Linked DNA regions of Tribolium castaneum. The protein of the gene in region 2 interacts with the protein of the main gene of each other region in a pairwise test. Links are inferred from orthologs where the notes say so. Each region holds a gene or a part of one and is shown on either strand. Other genes may lie near its edges.

Evidence for each region.
Region 1: the proteins of sip1 (region 2) and Prp31 interact in binary tests that used the Homo sapiens proteins (3 or more experiments, as listed by UniProt). The link is inferred for Tribolium castaneum from reciprocal best matches to the Homo sapiens genes TFIP11 and PRPF31.

Annotation. Positions count from the first base shown.
Region 1 is NC_087395.1:18,107,191-18,111,850, forward strand, and holds the start of Prp31 (U4/U6 small nuclear ribonucleoprotein Prp31), read left to right. Parts: upstream 1-1,603; 5' UTR 1,604-1,698; coding exon 1,699-2,035; intron 2,036-2,088; coding exon 2,089-2,912; intron 2,913-4,660. UniProt on the Homo sapiens protein: Involved in pre-mRNA splicing as component of the spliceosome. Required for the assembly of the U4/U5/U6 tri-snRNP complex, one of the building blocks of the spliceosome.
Region 2 is NC_087402.1:11,583,002-11,587,661, forward strand, and holds the start of sip1 (sip1/TFIP11 interacting protein), read left to right. Parts: upstream 1-1,949; 5' UTR 1,950-2,060; coding exon 2,061-2,163; intron 2,164-2,239; coding exon 2,240-2,470; coding exon of another isoform or gene 2,471-2,515; coding exon 2,516-2,781; intron 2,782-4,660. UniProt on the Homo sapiens protein: Involved in pre-mRNA splicing, specifically in spliceosome disassembly during late-stage splicing events. Intron turnover seems to proceed through reactions in two lariat-intron associated complexes termed Intron Large (IL) and Intron Small (IS).

The DNA.
Region 1 (4,660 bases), on a different chromosome or scaffold from region 2:
GAAACATATTGTTTGTATTGGTATTGGTATTTTGTTCATTTACTCAGGGCCGCCACGAGAAGTGCTATTTTATTTGTTATCTGTTCATAAAAGGTATATATTAGCTATTTCAAAATTATAAAAACGCCAACGTCGCATTTTCTCTCAAAATTATAACTAATGTAATTTATACTTTCAATGAGAGATCGAATCGTTAATAACTATTTTACATTTCTATACTTATTCAAATTAAGAAGTAATAGAGATTTGTGGTGATTGTGATTAACTGATTACTGACTAGGTTCAATAAATAAAGGAACAAATATTTATTTATTAGAAGAATTTTAAGTTTGACATAAAATGTATGTATTAAAATGACATAATAAACATTTTCGTATATCCCAAAACCTGAAGAGTTTTTTAAAAAACTGTACTTTTTTAACCCAAATTTACAAATTGTGTAACTATACTGTAACTTTATATTCAAACAAATTAATACTGTGTGATTTTCTAAAATATTGGTCTAGTTATCCGTGACAGTTACGTTAACCCGATCTCCATTACGGAAATAAGATTCCAACATATTTTTTTTGGTTCTTCGGTGAACATTTTAGACATATTGACAAATAAAGCGATGCTAAAGTTATTTATGCAAAATGTTTCATTGATGACGTATCTGTCATGGATAACTAGATCAGAATTTTAAAAAGTCGGTTGGTAGTTTATTATAATAAGATAACAGATAAATTGCTTCGATTTGAAGCATTGAACTATCGTAGATGCCAAATAATTTTTAATTTTAAAAATGATCGCTTCCCTGTTGAATAGAAAACGGGTAATGAATAGGAATTAAATTATTTATTAAAAGATTTTCTAATATATTTTGTGGGTTTTTGCAATTATTTTCTAAAAAATGAATCTTAAAGCGTTAATTCCGTTAAATAAATCGGAAACCATTTTTAAGCTTTACGTGTAAGTCTTTACAATTTTTTGCTGTCTAAATCTTCTTAAAAAATTGAAGTTATTCACAAATACAAATGCATCGTTTTTAAAAAGAAGACACAACTTGATCCAAAATTTAATAAGAAAGTAAATTTTTTAAATATTTCTGTCATCTACCACAACTTCGTTAAGATGAATATAAGGTGTTCGTTTGTAGTCAAAAAGTTTTATTTCTTTTCTTCGGCATACAGTTTTATTCAATCCGGTTTTATTAAAATTAGTTGGTGCTTTGGCGTCCTCTGACTCCTTTTTATTTTTATTTGTATGCTTTTTTCCATTTATTTTTGTTTATTTTTAAAAACAACTATCTTAATATTCTAATTTAAAATGGTATTTAAAAGAGCTTTTGGCGAAGCAAGTTTGCTCTTATGTTCTTATAGTTATAGTTTTTACCAAAAAGTTGACTAAAATAAAAAAAAAGTTTTTTTTATTTAAATAACATGGCTTGAAACTACAATAACAACTGTTTTTTTAGTGATATATGTGTCCGGAAAAGTACTCTTTCACGGACTATATTCCGTCCCTTCACTAATTAATAATTATATTGTTTTTTTTCATTATCCCCAAATTAATAAGCAGATTATTATAGACAACCAGTAATTCAGCCCCACATTACAAGTAATCTATGGACACTTGTCAATTTGTAAACTGCATTTTTCTAACCTCACTTCCAAGTGTTGTGTGAACGTTTTGGAGTTACGTTTTTAACTCGCTAAAATGTCTTTGGCCGACGAATTATTGGCTGATTTGGAAGAAAACGATCAAGATGATTTGGAAGAAGCGATGGAAGTTGATGAAAAACCGGACATCAAAGAAGAAAAACCCGACGTTAAAGACATCCAGTTAGAGGTAGACACAACTCAAATAACTTCAGTCCGAGAGTTGTGTAAATTACGGGACTCGCCCCATTTACATGAAATATTGAAACAAATCGAAGACCATGTGAAGAAGAGCCGAAAATACCACGACATCATAGGACCAGTTGAGTTGGACCCTGAGTATCAACTGATCGTCGAAGCTAACAACATTGCTGCAGATATAGACGCGGAAATTGGTAAGAGTTACGATTTTAACCAAATCAGTTGAAACTAATCTGTTTTATTGAAGCCACTGTCCATAAATTTGTGCGCGACAAGTACCAGAAGCGGTTCCCCGAGTTGGACTCCCTTGTTGTTGGTCCTTTGGAGTACTTGAAGACCGTCAAAGAGCTCGGGAATGACTTAGACCAAGCCAAAAATAATGAAATTTTGCAACAATTCCTAACGCAGGCAACTATCATGGTTGTCTCAGTCACGGCATCCACGACACAGGGGATTCTCCTAACGGACGTCGAAAAGAAACAAATCGACGAAGCTTGCGACATGGCCATAGACTTGAACAACTTCAAACTGAAAATTTACGAATACGTTGAGAGTCGGATGGCTTTCATCGCCCCCAACTTGTCGGCGATTCTTGGGGCTTCGATCGCCGCCAAGCTCATGGGGGTTGCCGGGGGTTTGACCCGATTGTCCAAAATTCCGGCCTGTAACGTGCAATTGTTGGGCCAACAGAAGAAGGCATTGTCTGGATTTTCACAAGTGAATATGTTGCCGCACACTGGTTTCGTTTATTACGCAGATATCGTGCAAAATACTCCGCCTGATTTGAGAAGGAAGGCTGCCAGACTTGTTGCCACTAAATGCACGCTAGCAGCACGTGTGGACTCGTGTCATGAGAGTAAAGACGGACGTATTGGGCGGCAATTACGCGACGAAATTGAACGAAAACTGGACAAGTTGTTGGAACCACCCCCAGTTAAGTTTATCAAGCCGCTGCCGAAACCTATCGACCAGTCCAAGAAGAAAAGGGGCGGGAAAAGAGTCCGCAAAATGAAAGAGAGATATGCGATGACTGAGTTCAGGAAACATGCCAATAGAATGAACTTCGCTGATGTAAGTTTGGTTTTTCTTGTATTAAATTTTTCTAGTATTGAAAATATTTCTTACATTGAAAATTACACAATATTGTTAGCCAATCTACTGTTGAAGCAGCATTATAGTTTCATTAGATTTTGATAACATACTAGAGATCACAATCTTCTTTGCAAAAAGTTTTCTATGGGTTTGATGAAAATGCAGTTTTATTATTCTCTTGATACTTACAAGACCGGTATCAATAAGTTGTAACGAATAAGCGAAACACATAACTTCAGGTGTACCCCAGTGCTCAGTTTTGGGCCCAATCCTTTTTTTAATTGGGGTGTTCGATGTTTTAACGAAATAACTCCAGTTTTAGTCTTTTTGAGAAAAATATAGAAACGTATGCTATAAAATTTTCTCTTTCAAATGCAATAACTGGTTTTGTAATCGATTGATTTATTTTAATGTCATTAAACAGTAACAGTTGTTATAACACCGAAAATTTGTGGACATTTATTCAGTGCAATAATGAGATAAGTCCATCAATCGTTTTTTTACTAGTCTAGTGATTATTGTTAAATATAATGTATTAAAGCTTCCGTATTATAACTTATGTCAAAATAAGTTTAAAAAAAATAGAGACAAAAATGCAGTAGTAACATTGAATTGAGTTAAATTTTCACGGGTTTTTAAAAACCAAACGGCTTTCAATTTGAAAAAAAAGCGGTTTCGTCTGTAATTCTGTACTGCATTCCTCCTCTTCGCGTTTTATACTAATTTTTATTTATTTATTTTTCAAACAAAATCGATTACCATGATACTGAATGGAATCAAATAAACAATGATCTAAAAAGAATAGCCAAACATTGCAGTAATGTTAACTTAAAACTCAATGAAAATAAATATTCAGTCTTATACTTTGCATCTAAAAGTTGTAAATATTTTGAAGAATAATATATTAATATTTATATTATTAGTAATAAATTAAACGTTCTTGCAAAAAGAAAATCTCTAGGACTTACATTGACAGTGGAAAACACATTATTCATTATCAAAAAATGGTTCATCTCCTTGAAACTCTTACGTTCTAATTATCACATTCAGATTTCAAATTGAGAAATAAACTTATTGAAACTTTGGTAATTCTCCTTTATCTATTATTGCTTTATAATCTTATCCTTGTTTAAATGATGTTGATAGTTGAAAATAGATTATACAAAATTCAAAATATAATGTTATATATACAAAATTCAAAATATAATGTTATATTTTGAATTTTGTATCTTTGGCTTAAAAAAAATGTGATTACATTTCTAAGGTCGAGTTGTATCATCTTTAGTCCTGATTTAAATCCCTAACAATTATTCTCATAACAATGGCTATGGGTTTAATCCTGAAATTTTTTATACAACTCGACCTAAGTGTGTTTCTGACTTAATGTTGGAACTTCGGGATAAGATACTTGAGACTTCTAATAAAAGTATATTTAATATGAAAGTAAATCGAAATACAAAATGACGGAATTGATAAAAATATACACGGCACACTCTTATAAACAAAACTGTGGTTCACACGGAAACGAAACGCGACTCGTGAAACTTAGATGTCCAACACTTCCCCTCGAGTCGTGTGTCGTTAGAATGAATACTTCCAAAAAAAAAAAATTCATCCTTCCACTAAAACTTCTGGCAACTATCCTAACTATTGATAACTTGTAGTCCCGCTGCATTTACACTCCAAATATGTTTTTGTTTAGCGAGTCCTTTAGTTAGGAAATCAGC
Region 2 (4,660 bases):
AACAGGTGAATCATCTAATTACATCTAAAATAAACGTGTTGTCTTAAAACTAAAACTAAAAAACTAAAAAGTAGAAACAATACAATAAGGGAAAAAATGCAAGAAAACTAACATTAAACTTTAAATTTTGCCTTCCTATTAAATTAAACATAAGCCCAAAAACTGAAAAACAAGATTTTTTTATGAAATTAAAAGAACAAAAATGAATACTGTTAATTTTGTTAAAACCTGGGTTAAAACTGTTGCACATTACATCCAACGCCGATTTTAAAAGAACATTAGTATGACAAAAAGGATAAAATAAACAATCATGGAATACCGTGAGTTAATGCTAAGAAAAATTATCTTATTTACTAAATTAATGAATTTTATCTTTCTATTCAGTAATTTATATAATAATGCAATAGTTAAGATAACTAAAGAATTCTAAAGAATTGACATTAAATATCCTTAGCAGCACTAGTTGCTCCATCCCGTTTCAGAGTAAGTTTCTGCCACTTTCATCAAGTTTCTCAGCGACATGTTGAGTGAGTTGTAACAAATTTTCTCTTTTCTCCATGAAATTTTCCTAAGCCGGTGTATTATTTGTTGATGTGTTGATATTTGAGTAAATTCTTCTGTACATCACTTCTGTCTTATTAAAGTTATGCATTAGCCTTGCAAAAAGCAAGGTGAAACTAATGAACCTACTTGCTAATTTAATCAAAAGCAATTTTGAAAAATTCCTCTTATAAGCAGGTTTATTTGGAATGCTTTAACATTGTAGAATATAAAGAAAAATAGACAATTAAATGAACGTCTTATTTTAAAGTCAGACAAATCAGTTAAAGTCGGTAATACAATACAGTTTATAGAAAGCCTTGTTAAAATTTAATTTGTTGTTAAAAGTTAACAACGCGAATCGACCAATCAAATTTGTTCAATTTGATCACATGAACAGTTAATCACGCATTTAATTGCAAATTAACTTAATGACGCTTCCATAAACCCATCCTATAAATATTAAATATTTTATAATAACTACAAGTTTTATTTTGGAGATATAGAAATATTTCAAAGTAGTTCTGGTAGTTCTAAACGAAAGTTAATAGGGCTTAATTTTACAGAAATTATTAAAGTATTGTTCATCTGCAAGAATTGCAAGCTAAAAGTAGAAGTTTTAAATTAAAAACTTAATACATAGGAATAAAGATGATCCAAACAGTTTATCCAAAAAAAATAAAAAAATACTATTACTAGTTTGTGTTTTTATCAAAACGCTACGAATACAGTGGAAAATATAAAAAAATGTAAAGAAAAATGTAAGGGTGTAGAGAATTAAATTTCCTATTTAAGTCCGCACATATTTTCAATGGGTAAATTAAGGTGTAAATTAATTTTCCCCACCTGACCAGTGGTAAAATGAAAAACCGTGCCTTCAGCATCTTTATTCTTTATACTTCTTTAGGGCCTAAGCGGTTAAAAATAGTGATATTGTCCCGACCATTAAAAAAAATAAATTCTCTATACTTTATTCCTAACAATTTTCTTGTACCTTTAACCATGTTCATTGTGTAATGAAAAAAATGGAAGAAAATGTGAAATAAATTCTTTTTCTTGTTTTTTGTATAAATTTTAGTCATCAGTTTTTCTCAATCTATTACGAATGTAAAGCCCTACATTTCCGCATTTTTTCCAAGTAATAAGTGATTTGGTTAAATTAAAATTAATTTAAAACGTTTTGGCGCTTGTATCTATGGCCGAATAACTCTGGAAGCGCCCTCATTTTTCTCTGTCGTACTATATTTTTTGGGTACAGAAAATCGTGCGATTTTCTATCTTGTTTTGTCTCCCGATATAAACTCCTCCGTAACGTAAACATTACAGCTTCATAAACGATTACAAACGTAACGTACCTTAATAATTGTTATTTAAATAATCGTAGTAGAATCCCACTTGTGGGGAGCTTTTTCTCGACAGAGGGCGCTATCGCAAAGCGACCTGACGCAAAACATAACCTCTGCTTTTTTGCCACCCGAAATCGATTAATTTGTTGTAAAAGTGTGAAAAAACGTGTGAAAATGTCGGACGACGAGATGGAAAAGTTCGAAATAACGGATTACGATTTAAACAATGAGTTTTACCGTGGTAGAAAAAAGTTAAGCAAACACCAGCAGATTTATGGTAACAACTTGACTCCACATCTACTATCTACCCATTTAGGTGGAACAAACCCAAATTAACGACTAGTTCCGTGTAGGTATATGGGCAGACGACAGTGATAATGACGAAGAAGAGCGACCTTCGTTTAAATCACGAAAACCTAAAAATTATTCCGCCCCGATTGGTTTTGTTGCGGGGGGTGTCCAACAAGCGGGTAAAAAACCCGAAAATGTTAAAAAAGAAGACGAAAGTGATGAGGAAAAACCAACGACGAGTTTTAAACTTAAGGATAGCTCAAGTGATTCAGAGGATGAACGTCCAAGGCCAGGTGGGGGCACAAAATATCAAACTTTTTCCAATTTGAATATTTCAGGGTTCGGTGGGGTCCAAGAAAGTGGGGACATTGCAGGCCTACGTAACAAAACTCACTCGCAACCTATGCAAGGGGTGGGAAATTGGGAAAAACACACAAAGGGGATTGGGGCAAAGCTTCTATTACAGATGGGTTTTCAACCGGGGAAGGGGCTAGGGAAAGACTTACAAGGGATTTCAGCCCCGGTGGAGGCCCACTTGAGGAAGGGCCGGGGGGCTATTGGGGCCTACGGGCCAGAAAAATCCGCAAGCATTCCAAAGAAAAAGGTAAACAAAAATAATAATTAATAAATTGTTTTTAACTTATTTTTACCCTAAAAGGGCCGATTTCATAAACACATTTAAATCTTGATTTAAATTTAATCGACTTTGTCATAAACTCTGTTTCACAAGGTCTTAGGGCCACTTTCATAAACGAATTTAAAGAAGCATTAAATTAAATGTTTAGTATGTAAAATATACCTATTCTTATCCTTTTATTCGATTTTTATGAACAATTATTTCTTTATCGTTTTTTAAAATCTTTACATTTGGAGATAAGTCTTCTATCACTTTGAATGGTCCATTGATGAAAATTGCACTTAACTTCTCACCTGTTTCGTTTTTTATTAACACTAAATCGTTGGATTAACACTTTTATCATAGTTTATTTTCCTAGATACGAGATTTTTATGAGCGTCATGCAGTTCTTTGCAGTTTATACTTCATTTTTAGCACATAACCATTAAAATTATACAAAGGCACAATCTCATTGGTTAAATGAGGTAAGTTATATTTTTTCCTAAAAACTAATTCAAAGGGAGTGTATTTAGTTTCGGAATAAACTGTTGTATTAAAAGGAAAACCCGAAATGGTATCCAGAAGTTATTAATTGGAACTTTTGTTTTTGGTTAAAATTATTAAAAATGCACCAAGATTTTTATGTTTTTTCTCGATAGCTCCTTAACTCATCATAATAAGCGTAGATTTCAAATGAGTTATGTTTAAAATTTTGCAAACTTTGGTTCTCGTACATGGTAAAAATTCAGTACCTTTATCTGTCCTATTAACTCGAAATGAAATTTTCTACAAAAGCTCTTGCAACAGTTAGTGTGTTTCGTCGGTAAAGCATACGCTTCCACAAATTTTGTAAGTTCGCACTAAATTGCTAAAACGTCGAATTAAAAATTAATGCCCCTTTAAGTTTAAAGCGTGGAGGGAGAAGATTCAAGATTCTCCCTGCATTGTTCAAATCCACAATTTTCGCCTATTAATACAGGGTGTATCAAAAATACGTGTGTGAATTTTACCACATAAAAAAACTCATCAAATAAAACAACTTTTCTATACAGGGTGTAACGAAAAGATGTTCACAACAGTGAACAGTGAACAGTTCACAACAGTGAACCATAGATTCCCTGTCTTAAAATAGAGCGATTTAGGCCAACTTATTTCTATACCAAGTTGCACCGTTTAAAAGTTAGAGGGCGTCAAATTAAAAAAAAATCGTTTTTTTTATTTTAGTAACTTAATTGGAATAATCGAGTTTCATGAAATTTGGTACAAGTAATTTGTCATCGAAAATTGTTGATGCTAATACTAACAGCATGTTTTGAAATAAATGCTCAATAAAAAAAGTATTTGCTTTATTTCATTCACTTTGTTTTGAAAAAAACCTCGACGTCAAAGCAAATACTTGCTAAAAAAGCTTTTACTTCCATTATTACTCAATACTCATACATTTTAGAGCACTTATTTAAACACATTATTTAAACAATTTCTGTTAAAAAACGGCAAAGAGGGGCCAAATTACAAAACAGTATAAAATACTCGTTTCATTTTCATAAGGCCTTGAAGCACTCATTTTTGAAAATTCGTGCTTAAAGACTGGTCTTATGAAACTTGTTTTTTAATATACTATTTCTTTATTTGATATTAATGTTGTCACCCTTTTCATTTCAAGCTGAAAAATTACGAAATTAGACTAGTAATTAAAGAAATGAAATTGACTTCATTTAGCTTATTTTGCTCGATTTTAAATTTTGGCCAAAATTGTTGTTAAACTTAAATTTTTGGCTAGATTTTGCTAGAAAATTTTCGGGTGCTTTTGCACATTTTCCATCCAAAAATGCAATTATTTCGCAAAATTTCGTTAAAGTATACCGTA